Linked DNA regions of Saccharomyces cerevisiae S288C. The protein of the gene in region 1 purifies or fractionates together with the protein of each later gene. This does not show direct contact. Each region holds a gene or a part of one and is shown on either strand. Other genes may lie near its edges. The genes, in order: SPT15, TAF13, TAF7 and TAF2.

Region 1 (3,315 bases):
CTTCAAGAATTAACGTCCTTCTTGATGTCAAACTCCATTCAGAAAGGCATTGATATCAAGCCAATACCATTAGATGACCCTGTGAAGTTCTTGAAAAATGGGATAAATTCTATCTTGGATACCTGCGTCAGTCTAGAAAAAAATACGTCATCACCACCTATTTCGCCTAACGCCGCTGCAATTCAAGAGGAAGACTCCTCTAAAAAATTAGAAGAACTAGAAACGGCATTTAGTGATTTGCAACTGGCACACAATTTCTTGACTAAGCAATTCGAGAATGACCGTGCCGAATATGTACAAGATATCGAGAAGCTAACGCGGACTAACAGAGAATTACAAGATAAGTTATTAAACAACCACTCGAATTTGAGTAAAACTGAAAAGAAATTACACGAATTGGAGCAGGAAAATAAAGAACTTGAAAAAGCCAACAACAAGCTGAATTCAAGCAGACATAATTTCGGCATGTCATCACCAGCGAGTTCGCCGGTGACTTGGGATCCAAGTTCACCTTCCTCTGTAGGAAGCCCCACAAGCGGTTCTGGATCACGTTCACTTTCAATAATGACAAGTGAGTTTAAAAAAGTGCTTACGAGTACACAAAGAAAGTATGAAAAAGAATTGTCGGATGAGCGTGAACATAGATTCAAGCTGGAAAGGGAGCTTGCTTTGCTGAAAAATGCAGAGGCAAACACCTCGCTGGCGCTTAATAGAGACGATCCACCAGATATGCTATGAATAAACATCTTATTATAAAACATTGATATATAAATATAGAATAAGAAGAATATACTATAAAAAACCGTTTGATATTACAATTACTTCTTCTTCCTTTTCTTTTATTTCTTTGAGGACCATTAATAATTGAGAAAATGGAACAAATAGAAAACCTTTTTTTCTTTTCGTCTACTCCTTCCCCATCACATTTTTCTAAATTCACTTAGCACAGGGTATATAGCTTCAAAAGCTTGGTAAATTTCTTCCCTTTGCTTTGCACCAGTAAGAACAATCTTTCCTGAAACAAAAATTAACAACACAATTTTCGGCTTCACCATTCTATAGATCAAACCAGGAAACAATTCTGGCTCATAGGAGGAGAAAGTACCATGACTGAATGCTAACCCTTCTAGACGTATAGGGAATTTAACGTCACACGAACCGACAATATTTTGTATTTTGAAGTCTGTGAATTTAGCAGCAAACCCGATTTTTTGGATAATTCTTGCATATTTTCTACTGGCCAGCTTTGAGTCATCCTCACTTTTTGCACCGGTAACAACCATTTTCCCTGAGGCAAAAATTAAAGCTGTAGTTTTTGGCTCTCTAATACGCATGATGACAGCAGCAAAACGCTTGGGGTTATATTCTGCATTACGGGCATGTAGCGCAACTGTTTTCAGATCTAACCTGCACCCCAAAGTCACAGTTGCCACAATGTTTTGTAGTGTTGGAACAATACCTGATGTGGCGGAGGTGTCTTTTTCAGATTCTGGGGCAGCTCTTTTTATGTCCTCTTCACTCTGGAAAGTAGTTGCTGGTTTTGTACCATCTCGATTCTGGTTTTCCCATACTTGTCTGGTATTTGGATCAAACACTATCTTGTTTGCCTCTTTAAACTCCTTTAAACGTTCCTCATCGGCCATAATTAAAAAAGTTTCTCTTGATACACCTGTTTATGTTGGACTAGAAAAGAAAAATAAAATGCAGCCTTTACTTCCTTGCTTCTTCCGCAGAGCAGTCTAACTAGTAGTCGTTTTATTTCTTATGTGTTATCTTTCCCCCGATCTTATAGTCCAAAAAAAACAGTAACTACTGTAATTTTCACGTCCCTTGTTTACTCTTACCATCAAGAATACCTATCAAGGTAAAAAAAGTCATTAGTAATCCTTTGAAGCCATGTTTTATATGTAGATCTTCAAATTTTTTTCTTTTCCCAAAAAGCTCGCGTAAGAGAAACTTGGAAGATAACTATTTACGGCTTCACAATTAAAATACGTAAAGAGATGAGTTAGATCTATCAGCAAAGGGAATCCCGACATCTCAGCTATCAGAGGGGAATCAGTATTGGTAGAAATTGAACGATTTCGAAAGAAGTACAAATTCATGGAAAATCTTGGCGACAAACTTAGTATTTCACAAGTATACCACTTAGCACAGGAATACAGAGACCATGCATATTCAATTGCGAATAAAATCGGTTCTGAGGAAGGGTTGAAGCAGTATTATGGCCTCATGAACATGTCTATCCAGATGTTTCAGCTATTGAAAACGAAATGTACGCTTTCAGTTCTGGAGGATAGTAAGGTCACGTTTGAGATGGTGGAGTTATTGATACAGGAGACGTATAATTTTGACCTAGCAGAGCTTTACATTTCCAGTTTGAAAGAACGGTTACAAACGCACCAGAGCGACACAGATTTGGTAGAAGAGATCATGCGTTGCGAGTTTCTGCTGTTACATGACTTGCCACTTATGAGAGACAGTAAGTTCCACTATAAGATTGCACTAAGAAATTGCAATGAATTAGTCCAGTACATGGTAAATTTGCAGGATGAGTTGTATCAAAATTGGGCATCCGTATTCCAGTATGTCGGCGTGATGCTTTGCATTAAGCTGAAACAGCACCGCAGGGTGAAGACGAGTTTTCATGGGCTACTCTCGCAATGTCGGGAAAAGTCACAATGGAAATGGTTTCTAAATCTGTGTTATGTGAATTACTTGCTAAATGAGAGGTTCCCAATCCCCGAGGATGCTCTGCAGGAGCTGCGAAGCACGGAGCTGCACACGGTGGGGCCTGAGCTATATGCATGGAAGTTGGCATTAGAGATGGTAATCCAGCTTTGTAAAGACGGGAATATTACGGACCACTTGAACGAATTCAAAAATTTCTTTGACACAAACAAGCAATCTCTAGTCACTAATGAAGGTAAGGGATGTGTGATCAAAATCATGCCAAGGATAGCGCTGAAAGTAGAGTTGCCTATGATTTTCCACTACAAAGAATTAAAGAACATACTGTTATTATTGCAAAGTGTCAGCTACATCGTGAACTGTTATGACGAAAAGGGCAATTTTTCCAGGAAGTTCCTCCCCAAAGTCTATTCTACAACGCAGAAACTGATTAAGAACATTGCCGCTGGCGGTGTTTCGATGAATGAGCTGGACTCACGAATCCAGACATACAAGAGCATTCTTGAATTCTGTGAGTTTTACAAAGTGTGGGAACAAACACTCTTGAAGGGGGCCGTAGTGACGACCGAGTCACCTAAGTTAGGGCCCTCTCCAGGCTACGTGAGGCTGCTGCAAGCCATGAAG
Region 2 (2,925 bases), on another chromosome or scaffold:
GTAAAAATAACTTACCGCAGGAGACATTTTTTACTGATAACGATCGCTTCTAAAACTCGTTAGTACAGGCTCGTTGTGACTTAGAATCAAATAATAGATGGGTTAGGAGGCGCACGTACCTTCCTAAGCACAGAAGGGAGCTTAAGTTGCTGTTTCAGGCGGTGACTTAACAATACATCTTAACTATCCAATGCTGACAGCTGAGTATTGCAACACAACTATCAGAGGGAGGAGTTTGCCGTTACTAATGTAGCAGGGTTTTTGAATCTAAAAGAATAAATGTACCAGTTGAATCCTAAGATTTTACTTGGAAAAATATATAAATAAGAAAACAATGCATTCAAAATTGTGCCATTGTAATGACAAGTGTTTTTGTTCAGCACCAACGCAAACTCAAAACCCCTTTTATAGAGCAAACGCCTAATTAATAAATCAAAGGGACATATGTACTACGTATATCTGAATCAAGCCTACGTAAACGGGCCTGCCAAGTAGCTATATCATTTTTTTGTTTTCTTGAGGTTTTTAGGCCCCTGCTTCCTAATCTTTGTTGCCTTCGAATCTGTTGATTGTTTAGCGCTATTACGGCCCGCTGCTTCCTCATCATCATCCGTCACCTGCTGCTCATCCTCATCCTCTTCCATCTCGTCACCCTCTTCATCCTCTTCTCTGTACCTCTTTAATGAATTTTGATTGTCTGTCTCATTGAACTGCTTCTTAGCTTCCGTAATCAACTTATTAGTAGCTATCAGTTCTTCTGCTCTCCCAAGCTTTATCGGGTCTTTACGGAGGGCAAACTTGAAATCTTCCAATCGGAGCTTATTGCGCTGAGAATTCTGGGCTGTATGGAATGCGTTAGTACAAACATCCACCAAATATCCAGATACCAATTCATCCAAACACTGCACAGTAGCTTGTAGTGGCTGCGGCACATCGCCGTAAGCGTAAAGCAAGGAACTTACATCCTTGTTAAACAGATTCGTTTTTTTCAGCTTCCTAGACATATCTTATCCAGCTCACCCTCGCCTGCCGTTACCTTTTGGATTTCATGTTGCAGTTGTTGATGAACCTTCTTTGTTATCAATGACTCTTCGCCTGCGGTTTCCGCTAGAACTCAAAAATAAATGAAAAAAAAATACACCTTGCGAAAAGCATCTCTTTTAGATTTGATGCTTTAGTGGGCAATAGTTACCGATATCAGTACCTCGAAAATTTTAAGTTGCAGATATAATGGGAATTTCCAGCAAGAATGGCCCTAAAAAAATGGGAAGGGCAAAGACGTTTACTGGGTGTTGGACGTGCAGAGGAAGAAAAGTTAAGTGTGATCTTCGGCATCCCCACTGCCAACGATGTGAAAAGTCTAATTTGCCTTGTGGCGGTTATGATATCAAACTCCGGTGGTCTAAGCCTATGCAATTTGACCCGTACGGTGTCCCAATCCCACAAAATTCTCCTGCAACTACTACGAACTTATCAGGTAGTGTCGATGAACCACAATACCAACGACGGAACATCGATTTTGTGCGCTATGATGAAGAATACGTGTATCATGAAGATATGGATGATGAGCTAACAATGCTGCATACTCCCCCAATTGAGAAAATAAGCGATAACAAGACGTGGATCATAAAGAAATTTGGGGTGTTTAAAGGAACAGATAAGATCGACAAGCAGTACGCTCCAAGGAAGAAGCGCAATAGGAAAAGAGTTGCCAAAAGCTTGGAGAGCTCAGCTTCTATTTCGTTATCTTCTTTACCATCTTCTTCAACTATTTCCTTTCCAATTAGACATATTGAAGACAAGTTGAGAAATAAAGGGCATGTAAAGACAGGTATTCTCTCTGCTAATGATGGTGTTCCACCAACACCAAATCTTTTAGATTATGACTGGAACAATCTGAATATAACAGGTTACGAATGGATCTCGAGTGAACTCAGAGATGATGCATTATTGTCAGCGGTGACCTTACAGGGACATCACTTAGGACACACACAGCCACAAGAAATCTCATTAGAGGAAAACTCTAATGTCGTGAGTGGGGAAGAGCATGTGAATGCCAAAGAACATGGATGTGCCTTTGAGGCTGATAATCAAGGTTCATCAACTTTACCTAATAAAGCAGCCAGTGCCAATGATAAACTTTACCAGCAAAACTTGAAGTTACTCTTCCAGAAAAACTCTTCGAACAGTGAGGAACCAGACCCTCAAGCATTGATCGACGATGTGTTCGTCAATATTGAACCAAGATCTCTGCCCGCATCTGATCTGAATAAAATAACTCTAGCTCCTCCAAATGAAGAATCACGCATGCCTAAGTCCATGTTAGAACTCACATCCTATTCCAGTGACCTACCACCTGAATTGGTAGATATTATACCCAAAACAGACCTTACCGTACATGGTTTAGCGAGATTTCTTTTAAATCATTATTTTAATAATGTTGCAGATAAAATGACAGTGGTCGTGCTCGAAAAGAACCCATGGAAAACATTATACTTCCCCAGAGCCTTGATGGCATTAGGCGATTTAGCGGGTTTGGGACAATCCTCCAACTCGAGGAATGCGTTGTTGAATGCTCTTCTTGCTGTCTCTTGCTTCCACTTGCAAAGCAAGTACCCAAGGAACTACAAACTACAAAAATACTTTCTGGGCCTAGGTATCGAATTGAGAAATCAAGCCTCGAACTTTCTAAGATTATGTTTGAACACAAAATCAAGCATACCTGAGAAATATAAAGACGTACTAACTGCGATCTTATCTATGAACTCTATTGATGTTGTATGGGGGACGATGGCAGATTGCCAGGATCACTTGGCTCTTTGTGAAGACTTCGTTGAGTCAAGAATGAAACTAAGACCTAATATTTCTGAAAAGACAAAAACCTTACACAGGATTTTCTCGTTTCTGAAGTTAATTCAAGATAGC
Region 3 (4,273 bases), on another chromosome or scaffold:
TGATGAGCTCCTTTCTCAAACTATCAGTGAACGCCCCCACGGCAAACTTAGAGGCACAATAGATAGAACCTGTTGGGTATGCGTCTCTGCCAGCGATTGAACCCAAATTTACAATATCTCCTGAATTCTTGGCTTGGAATATGGGCAGTACAGCTTGTGTGATATTGATTAAAGCCGTGACGTTGGTGTCAAACACGTCCTGGATATCCTCCGTTGCGATCTGGCCCACACGGTCACTGCCAAGAGCCTTTCCGGCATTGTTCACCAGAATGTCAATATCCTTGAACTCTTGTGGCAAGTTTTCAATGAAGGGCTTGATTTTTTCTGCTTGAGTGATATCCAGCTGGGCCACATGAACTTTTGCGTTTGGAAACTCTTGATCAATGGTCTTCTTCAATTCCTCGAGCTTTTCTAATCTTCTAGCAGCCAAGATCAGTTTCATATCACCATTGGATGCCTCCAAGTACTCTAATGCGGTCGCCTTACCAATACCAGCAGATGCACCTGTAATGAGGACAGTCTTCTTAGCCAATCTTTCTGCAGCTTTTCTACCTTGGGACATTATCAAAATACGTTCTCAATGTTCTATTTCCCGCCTTTACTAGTGAGCTTGAACACTTTCTATGCGCCATGCTGTTTCATCTATCCTCCTTTCTTCAGCTTTTTATATCGCTCCGATAAGAAAAATCGGTGTCGTGCCTTAATATATATCAATGCTATACGTCATAGAGTAGAGTCGTATAGTGTATAAGAGTAATATATAGATGATAAAGAGAACTTACTCATCACCCTCTGCACCAAATAGCATCATCATATCGAGATCGTTCTGGTCGAGTGTTTCCTCTGCGGGGGCTTCATCAAGTTCGCGCACCACCTTGTTCTCTTGTATGTGTTCCCGTTCATGCACATTATCCTCGTCCTCATCGTTTTCTTCGTCATCCTCCTCGTCTTCGTCCACTTCATCCTCTTCCTCTTCTTCTTCCTCTTCCTCTTCTTCTTCCTCGACGTTATTTGCAGTTTCTGCGTCAGAGCGATGTTGATGTTGTTTCTGGACAGAATCTTCGGTTTGTTGTAACTGCTTACGTTTTAGTTCAGCCTCCTTCTCGAGCTTTTTAATGCTATCTATGAACCTGCTTTTCAAAAGAGGATTCGTGGCTTTACTTAATTTATGCTTGGTATGGGCCAGGGTGGTCTCTAGTTCGTTCAATTCGTCCGCAAGTAATTCAGTGTGCTGTCTGTTTTCGTCTTTTTCGTCATCAGATTCACTTTCCCCACCAGCAGCTTCAATGTCACCGTCGTCATCATCGTCATCATCTTCTCCGCCTGTGTCTTGATCCACCTCATCACCGACTTCCTCTTGTTGTTGCTCCTTGTCTCCCTCGGCACCGCTACCTTCCTCTTCACTTTCAAAAGCAGCGCCTAGGTCAAGATCCTCCTCTTCTTCTTCTTCCATTCCTTCTTCTCCCTCTTCTTCTGCACCTTGTTTTCCTACTGCCGAAGCAATTGTGTGTATCTCTTCTTTCTTTAAAGCAGGTCTAGATAAAGGCTCTCCAGGCTCCTCTTTGAAATTTTCCCAACTAGAAACACGCTCTTGCCTCGCTTGCAGTTCACTTTTATCAACCAGATCATAGCTGACCTCTTCTGCCTGTTTATCTTGCTTCAAAAGCATATCAACCACTTTTTCTACATAGTCTATTTCATTAGGGTCCATTTTCCGTCTAAATCGTCTATTTCGAACATTGTACAAAGGTGGTGATATTCCATGTTTGTAGTCATAGCCCTTCAAAGCTATTTCTTTCAAATGTTTAGCCTCCATATCACTTAAAGGCGCACCATTGTATCCTTTTAAGAAGGTTTCTTTATTCTCCCAAATTTCATCCTCTATGCCTTCAAAATGCTTAACAACCAGATCTTCTGTATCAGGGGCTTCTAGGGCATATACTTCTTCCTCTTCTTGTATAGGTCTTATGCATAGTAGCATTTGTGATACGTCAAATGTCTTCAGGAGGTTTTTTCTATCGACGCTCTTGTTCACTTCTATAACTGTAGGCAAATCTACTAGAATGGCACCATACATTACATCGTTTATTGTTACGACAGCGTGTCTCTCGTTTTTCCACTTGATACTTATCCCAGAATAATCACCTGATTCTAACGAATTTTTTACAAACTCTAACTGTATGTCTGGAAGTATCCTTAATATCACACCACTCTCTATGAGAGGGTCATCTTCAATATCAGAGGCTTCTGAGTCGTACGCTTCCCCAGGAATTCTAATAGGTTTGAGACGTAGCTTTGGCGCCTTGTGTATCTTCTTAACTGGTTCTTCATTTTTTTTCAAGTTTAACTTTAACTTCAATGAATTCTTCTTCTCTTTGCCGTCAGCACTCTCTTTCTTTTTCTTTAGGTTTATCTTTAATTTAGGCTTTGGTTTGATATCTTCATCAGTTACCTTTGTCTTTATGCGAATTCTCTTTAGTTTAGGCTCGCCTTCTAATGGTTGATCCTTCTCTCCTGGTCCTCTGGGTTTTTTAATTCTTATAACAGCCATATTTACGTCGATTATTGCGACTAATTTGAATGGTAACACTGTCTCTTGTTTATGTAGTTCTTCCTATTCTTCTCGCTTTTATTATTTTTGCTAGCAAGTTTTGTCTTGAAATTTTATTTACTGTTCTCATCGGCCGAATAACAGCGATATTATTGTATGATGATAATAGAGATGAAACTTTACAAATGCGGTTACTACGTCAGTCAATACCATTCTTTGAAGTAAGAAGGCTCAGCAACTATGTCTGTTCCAATCCCTGGTATTAAAGATATCTCCAAACTTAAGTTCTTTTATGGTTTCAAATATTTATGGAATCCAACAGTATACAATAAAATCTTTGATAAGCTGGATTTAACTAAAACGTATAAACATCCAGAAGAATTGAAAGTACTTGACCTCTACCCTGGTGTTGGTATACAATCAGCTATTTTTTATAATAAATATTGCCCCAGGCAATATTCTTTATTAGAAAAACGCTCAAGTCTCTACAAGTTTCTGAATGCAAAATTCGAAGGGTCTCCATTGCAAATTCTAAAAAGAGATCCATATGACTGGTCAACCTACTCGAATCTAATTGACGAAGAGCGAATATTTGTTCCTGAAGTTCAATCCTCAGATCATATTAATGATAAATTTCTAACCGTTGCTAATGTGACGGGGGAGGGTTCTGAAGGTCTTATAATGCAGTGGCTGTCCTGTATTGGAAACAAGAACTGGTTGTATAGGTTTGGTAAAGTAAAGATGTTATTATGGATGCCAAGCACAACAGCTAGAAAACTTCTAGCTAGGCCAGGCATGCATTCTAGATCCAAATGTTCAGTAGTAAGGGAGGCATTTACAGATACTAAACTCATTGCCATATCAGACGCAAATGAATTGAAGGGATTTGATAGTCAATGCATAGAAGAATGGGATCCCATTTTATTTAGTGCTGCGGAAATATGGCCTACAAAGGGAAAGCCAATTGCGTTAGTAGAAATGGACCCAATTGACTTCGATTTTGACGTAGATAATTGGGATTATGTCACGAGGCACTTAATGATTTTGAAAAGAACACCCTTGAATACTGTCATGGACTCGCTGGGACATGGTGGCCAACAATATTTTAATAGTAGAATCACTGACAAAGATCTGCTAAAAAAGTGTCCGATTGATTTGACAAATGACGAGTTTATATATCTAACGAAATTATTCATGGAGTGGCCTTTCAAACCAGATATTTTAATGGATTTTGTTGATATGTATCAAACAGAGCACTCTGGTTGAAAAAAGTGCTTTTAAAATTTACTTCATTATTTAATAAATATGTGATTTTAGCGTGTGAATATAAAAAATACATAGAACTCAATCTTCGTTAACACGGAACCATCTTGTAATCAAGAAGCGAGAAGCGGAACTAAAACTTTAAGAAAAGGAGCTCTACGAACCGTCAAAGCTAAATTGATCGATAGAAATTGCTTCTTGAAACTTTACATTCTATGTACTTTACAAATATACTTTACAAACTTAGCCATTTATATTACTTTACAGTTAAAAATCCATCAGGAATTATTCGTCTGCTTTTTGAGATTCATGGCTAGCGACATACTCAGTAGCTTTAGCTTTAACGTATTCAATGGTCTTTTCGTCACCTTCAGATTCCTCAAATTGTAACCATTTATTAAAGAAAAACTTAGCCTGCTTCCTTGTTATTTTTTTGGTTATTATTCTCTCAAATAAATC
Region 4 (6,739 bases), on another chromosome or scaffold:
TTCGACAGTTCAATAAGACATCTATAAAATCTTCAAAGAAATATTTAAACTCATTTATGGCTTTTAGAGCATATTACTCACAGTTTGGCTCCGGTGTAAAACAAAATGTCTTGTCTTCTCTGCTCGCTGAAGAATGGCACGCGGACAAAATGCAGCACGGAATATGGGACTACTTCGCGCAACAGTATAATTTTATAAACCCTGGTTTTGGTTTTGTAGAGTGGTTGACGAATAATTATGCTGAAGTACGTGGTGACGGATATTGGGAAGATGTGTTTGTACATTTGGCCTTATAGAGTGTGGTCGTGGCGGAGGTTGTTTATCTTTCGAGTACTGAATGTTGTCAGTATAGCTATCCTATTTGAAACTCCCCATCGTCTTGCTCTTGTTCCCAATGTTTGTTTATACACTCATATGGCTATACCCTTATCTACTTGCCTCTTTTGTTTATGTCTATGTATTTGTATAAAATATGATATTACTCAGACTCAAGCAAACAATCAATTCTTAGCATCATTCTTTGTTCTTATCTTAACCATAAACGATCTTGATGTGACTTTTGTAATTTGAACGAATTGGCTATACGGGACGGATGACAAATGCACCATTACTCTAGGTTGTTGTTGGATCTTAACAAACCGTAAAGGTAAACTGCCCATGCGGTTCACATGACTTTTGACTTTCCTTTGTTTGCTAGTTACCTTCGGCTTCACAATTTGTTTTTCCACTTTTCTAACAGGTTTATCACCTTTCAAACTTATCTTTATCTTATTCGCCTTCTTGGGTGCCTCCACAGTAGAGGTTACTTCCTTTTTAATATGTACTTTTAGGATACTTTCACGCTTTATAACAATATCAAGTTTACCTTCTTCATTACTATTCATCTTCGCCACAAGTCTTCTCTCCCTTGGTGTTTCCAATCTAACTACAAAACTGTTGATTAGGGTGTACATCACCCTAACAAGATCATGTATTTGCTTCCTCTGGTACAAGCTAAGAACAGGTAAATTCAAAACATCCCAGAGTAATATCTTCAAAGGGCTATACCCTTTAAACATATCTCGGCATATTTGTATTAACCCACTAATATTTTGACGGCCAATCTTTTCTATTTTTATTTTCATATCATCGACGTAATGACCACTTAAAAACAACTCAATATCATCCTCACTTTTTATATTTTTAACTTCATTGTGCACAGATTGGACGGAGGACTTAATATCGTCACTTATGGTATCCAAACTACCATCCATAACAACTAGATTTACACATTCAGAAAGCACATCAACACTTTTATCCCTAATATAAGAATCCTCATGGAAGCAAAGTATTTCAGTAAACAAAACAAGGGCATCCTTGTTTTTTAAACCACCTTCTAAAAGCATGATTTTCAAAACCATTAAAAACTCATTCTGAAAGCTTTCCCTGGAAATATCTCCGTTATTTATACCTAATGTTAATGTATGCATTATCATTCCTGTCAATTCCGTAAAGTCATAAGCACCCACTTTATGCAATTTGTACTTAGCATACATGATAGTAGTCTTAATCAAAGACTCGTATGATGAAAGCCAATTCACCAAATTTTCGTACCTCAATAACTGAGTCTTAACTTTTTCCATATATGCTTTATCTTTATACTCATTTAAAGCAACTTTAACAACATTTTCAATCAAGCTGCGGACGTACGCATCATCACTGTATTTATTTTCACCATTCTCATTATAAACAAGAATATCCAGTAAAAATTGCTTCACCAATTTTGGACATTTACCATTTTCATTTTTCACTTTAGCCAAATATTTGGGAATATTACACTGTAAGAAATACAACTTAGGATTCTCAAAGTTATTACTCTTTGGAATATTAGAGTCTTCTAGGCAAAACAAAATCTGAAAAATCTGAATTAAATGCTTAACACCGCCAGTAAAATCCGGATCATATACGTATTTACTAAGCGCTTCGCACGCCGCGAGTCTTATGCCAAAAAAGTAACGCTCGTCGATCGCCGTTCTAAACAAAATACTTGAATAAACAAGTGATTTCACACCACCATTAACAACGACGTCCTCATAATATCGTATGGCTTCTAGTTGGGCCTCTATGTCCCCATCTTGTCTCAACTGAGAAGAAAACATGTAATCCGGCTGATTAATGTGCATTTGGCAAATCCATTCCAGATCAGAGTCTATGCGTATCCACTCAAATGCTTCGTTTTGCTTAAGCAATTCATTACTCTCAGACGTACGATTAAATTCCGTCAAACTGAATCGGGAACACTCTTCGGGCGACATGTATACATTTCCTAGACAATTCACATCCACAACAATAGGCTTCTCCTCATTATTGTTTTCAACACCATTTTCATCATTTGCACCACCACCTCTTTTCCTTAATCTTCTGTACTTTGTATTGTACTGAATATCTATTTTTGTGAATGTATCTTTGATTTCCACAATATGCTCATACGGAGTACCATCGTGTTCATGGATCCTTATAGTCATCGAGCCCGTGAAGCATTCGGTTCGGTTCAAATCTGGATGTTCTAAGTGGTCTAGTGCACTTTTGAAAAATCCTTCCTCCCCTACCACTTTTTCGTGGCCAAGTTCTTCATCTTGAACTTGCCTTATACCCAGTTCTATAACCATCCTCTTCCTATTAAATCTTTGGGTGACACGTAATATGGGTACCCCAGACCCATATACCCATTCGTTGAAAAAATTCTCTAATTTACTTTTATTAACTCTTTCGCAAACATGTTGAAAATGCGATGAAGTCAACGAATTATTCGGTAAATCACCAGACATAGCTTGAAGGAAAATTTTAGGTAATACTCGAGACATACCGAAAGATCGTTCTGTTTTAGTCATCCTTCTGTCAAGTATGTGTAGTATCATCGGTGCCTTCAATTGTATAAAGGACAAATCTTTAGAAGACCAAGATATTGGCCTAGAACTGCCGGTAAAAGTGCTCCCAATAGGCGGTTTCTCGAAGTCTTGTTCCACAATCGCCTCACTATTACGCTTTAATTGATATTTATACGTGTTATTACCCATTAATTTTTTGGTTACCTGAAACACCATATAACCAGCAATACCAAGACAGCACCAGTAGTCGTTCATATCTAAAGGAGTTATATTCACACAAGACCATTGGTTAGCAAGTGCCCATGCTAACTCATTCGTAGTACTGAATGCTTTATCAATAACTTCTAGAGGGTACAATAATCTGGTATTACAAATGCCTAATGCTGCAAAATCCATATGCTTAGAAGGTGCGGTAGGTAAAAACACCATAGAGTAACAAGTGAAAGGATAAGACCCAAATTCTTTCGAGTAGAAATCTATAATTTTTTGGCAGACAACTGTCGAATTTATAACTGTTAACTCATCTGTTTCCTGCGTCGGAAGTGTGAAAATTTGAATGGGTATAATATCCGAACCAATGTCGTCATCCATAGTATCGTTAACATTGTCCACAACATTCTCTCTCAACTTGTCTTCCTCTACTTCGTCCTCGGCATCAACACTTGGAGGTGATATCAAAGGTAAAGACCATGAATTAAAGGCGCCTATAGCCCAACCAATGTGATGTGGAGCCACAGGATTAATTATCTGAAATATGCATTTTTTTTTCGTCAAATCAATCGGGTGCGGAAGTTCTTTAATATTTGAATATTCTGAACAACACACAATCACATCCCTCAAACTCGGATTGTTGCTTTCCTCAATATTCCGCCTTTCCTCTTCCCCTTCCTCTTCCTCTTCGTCACTTTCGCCTTCCTCTTCTTCTTCATCATTATCTTGTGCATCTTTGCTTTTACTATTTTTGCCTTCTTCGTCATTTTTCAAGTTAGAATCCTTATCTTCGTCTTTGATAACTCTTGCCGGCTTCCCCTCTTCCTCTTCATCGTGCTCAGGCGTATCCTCCTTCTCTTTTTCACTCTCTTCTCCATTTTGTCCGATTAATTTCGAAGTACCTATATTTTTAACCAATCTCGGTACGCTGAATTCTAACTCCCATGTAGATTTTTCATCAAGCAAATCGACACATGGGACCCAATATGATGCAGAACTGCAAATCTCACCATTTGAAGTGTAAACGTTCCATAACCAGGGCTTGTCAGCATACACAGTATCGAATTTAATACCCGACTTTGGGTTTCTGATTTCATATTCAATTTGTAATGTAATTGGAGTGAAAACAGATTCTTGAAACCCAGGGGTAGTCTTAATTGAAGGAGTAATCGGAGTGTAATTACTTAATGCATTGGCGTCCTCCAAAGATATTTTGATGGAAGATGGTATTTTTATAGTTAACTGGGATTTAGAGTCCGTTTCTGGGTATTCATTCAAGCTAGCAAACTTAGATCTCAAAAAATGTGACTGTTCAATGGAATTGTCGCTGTATAATACATTTTGTGAAGTCAATCCATTCAAATTTGTTTGAAGTGGGTCGTCATGAATAAATTGATCACATCGACGATTTTCGACCAGAACATCTTTAATAGTCATTTCCTTGCAATCAAAAGTTACATATTCTAGGTTTTGGATCAACGGAATGATTATTATAGTAGCGCTACCGGTAATGCAGTGAGTAGCTAGATCTATATCCAACGAGATTTTTTCATGGGCAACTCTAAAATTTCTAAACTTCATCTCATGCAAAGTGCTAGATTCACTAACAATGGCTCTAGGAGTGGCGTTTTTGGAAAAGGACATCATGAAGTCCACCTATTTATCCTGTTGTCACCTCTTCACTGTCCAAAACTTCATCAAAAAATACTTTTACATCCGTTCCATTTTACTATAGTTTTCATCTTACGCAATTTACCAATTGCCCCATTCGGCAAAAGTATTTAAGTGTTACCCGGTTACTTAAGGTAATACCAAAAATATTCACTATATTGAAAGTTCTATGTATTTTATTGAATTAAATAAGACTGATTTTGTAGCACGATATCCGCAAGAATGATTCACAACCATTTTAGATGTCTGCAGCTTTTTTTTTTTTGATTTTTTTACTAATTTTAGTGCGATTTTAGAATAACTCTTGGATTAAATAAATAAAAAAAATACAATTATCACTCAGATTTTGAAGCAATCTGATAAAAATTGCAGCATATTATTATAACAATTCTAGTTCACTACAAACAGCACATTATCAAGAAACTTATGTTTGATGGACAGTTTCTTCAAATAATTGAATGCAGTAAAAAATAAAAAAAATAACCATGGAATATGTTTCTAAGAATTCGCAATCCTTGTTTATATAACTATAGCTTTTTTTATGTTATAAGAAAACATTTATTCCTTTAACCAAAAGGAAAAAGGTAACAACCCCACTTACCCCTCTGTCAATAGTTAATCATTTTATTATTTTCAACTTTAAACATCCAAAAAAAATAAAATAAATTAAATTAAAATCAAATAGAAAATGCATTATTACTATAATAATATCTCTATGTAGACATATACATATTATTTCATTGCTTTTTGTAATAAACGAGGAAAATGGTGGGATAAAAAAATGCATTGTTATTCCTTCGAAACCAGCAGTAATAAGTCGTCCTGAGAACGATGTAGATTTAGATCTTTACATGTTGGTACTCTAAATCACCTCCTTCCATCTTAAAGTCGTCCTTCTTCTTGCTCCAATCAAACTTGCTTTTCTTGCTGCTGGGACACCAATTTAAACTTATTAACCAGATAGTAAACAAAATCATGAAACAACAGAAATAACACCAAAAATGATCGTAAACGTGACCCCTTATGATATCACACACTGAATAATCATACACTTCATCGTCTATAACCAGTCCATAATTGAAATAACCGAGTCCGTATTTCAATACAGGTTTATATCCACCTTCATCGGTAAACGTACTTGGACTCAAAACTGTGCTTAGATCATTAGTTCCTTGGAATGCATGTTCTCTCAATAAGGAAGCATCAAGTGGAGCTGGGATCATCCTTTGCCAAAGTACGTTAAGAGCGCTTTCACTGCCTACTGTTGCCCCAAAAATTTCTTGGCCTTATCTTGGCACAAATATTCTTTTGCATTTAGTTCTATACATACAGAAAGAGCGAAAAAAAAGTGAAAAATAAACAGAATGTGATAACGGTAAAAGAAAATCAAAAATAAACAAAAAAAAATACATATATAACTATTATTCATGATAGTAAACAGGTGAATTAAGATATTTAGTACAATTGTCTATTACCCCAATAGGCATAATCCTCGAGGAAAAAGTCGTACAATACCCACGAGGGCCATATTGTGCACAGATGCCATAGCGCATGGGCATCAATCTGCCATTCGTAACTAAAAAAGTCAAACAGTTCCAATGACATGGCCATTGTGGTTACAATCACAAGAAGAATTGGAATGACACACAGTTTGAAGATTTGCCGCTTGAAGCTGGAGTACGCGGTTTTCTTGAATTCGCCCATTAGCTTTTGCTTTTGCAGAGCATGGTAGTTTTGGCATGATAACATTATCAATAAAATATACTGTAAAACACCGAAAAAAATGTTGAATCTCATGTTGTATGTGTACGACCAGTCAACATAGAGTCTCAAGATGTGCAGGGCAAAGATTGCCGCAACTGACGCAGTGAACGCTTGTGCTATCTTGGGGTACAGGAACATGGAAGTCATTCTTGCAAATATTGCATGAAACCCTGTTAGGACAGTTAAACCTGCGAAAAAGTAATCTAGCTTCTCCGTTATGATCAAAT

The links.
Region 2: the proteins of SPT15 (region 1) and TAF13 purify together in Saccharomyces cerevisiae (affinity purification with mass spectrometry; 6 studies listed by BioGRID, with this or other methods). This does not show direct contact.
Region 3: the proteins of SPT15 (region 1) and TAF7 purify together in Saccharomyces cerevisiae (affinity purification with mass spectrometry; 5 studies listed by BioGRID, with this or other methods). This does not show direct contact.
Region 4: the proteins of SPT15 (region 1) and TAF2 purify together in Saccharomyces cerevisiae (affinity purification with western blotting; 7 studies listed by BioGRID, with this or other methods). This does not show direct contact.

The regions. Positions count from the first base shown.
Region 1 is NC_001137.3:463,631-466,945, reverse strand, and holds SPT15 (TATA-binding protein), read right to left. Parts: upstream 1,644-3,315; coding exon 921-1,643; downstream 1-920. Other genes in the region: PEA2 (Pea2p), read left to right, coding at 1-738; cohesin-loading factor complex subunit SCC4, read left to right, coding at 2,104-3,315. UniProt on the Saccharomyces cerevisiae protein: General transcription factor that functions at the core of the DNA-binding general transcription factor complex TFIID. Binding of TFIID to a promoter (with or without TATA element) is the initial step in preinitiation complex (PIC) formation.
Region 2 is NC_001145.3:75,346-78,270, reverse strand, and holds TAF13 (Taf13p), read right to left. Parts: upstream 1,005-2,925; coding exon 501-1,004; downstream 1-500. Other genes in the region: ARG81 (Arg81p), read left to right, coding at 1,231-2,925. UniProt on the Saccharomyces cerevisiae protein: Functions as a component of the DNA-binding general transcription factor complex TFIID. Binding of TFIID to a promoter (with or without TATA element) is the initial step in pre-initiation complex (PIC) formation.
Region 3 is NC_001145.3:721,835-726,107, forward strand, and holds TAF7 (TATA-binding protein-associated factor TAF7), read right to left. Parts: upstream 2,552-4,273; coding exon 779-2,551; downstream 1-778. Other genes in the region: ORA1 (oxidoreductase), read right to left, coding at 1-562; MTF1 (RNA polymerase specificity factor), read left to right, coding at 2,792-3,817; RRP5 (Rrp5p), read right to left, coding at 4,100-4,273.
Region 4 is NC_001135.5:200,674-207,412, forward strand, and holds TAF2 (transcription initiation factor TFIID subunit TAF2), read right to left. Parts: upstream 4,725-6,739; coding exon 501-4,724; downstream 1-500. Other genes in the region: MATALPHA1 (transcriptional co-activator mating type protein alpha), read left to right, coding at 1-296; YCR041W (uncharacterized protein), read left to right, coding at 238-570; YCR043C (uncharacterized protein), read right to left, coding at 5,588-5,971; PER1 (Per1p), read right to left, coding at 6,204-6,739. UniProt on the Saccharomyces cerevisiae protein: Functions as a component of the DNA-binding general transcription factor complex TFIID. Binding of TFIID to a promoter (with or without TATA element) is the initial step in pre-initiation complex (PIC) formation.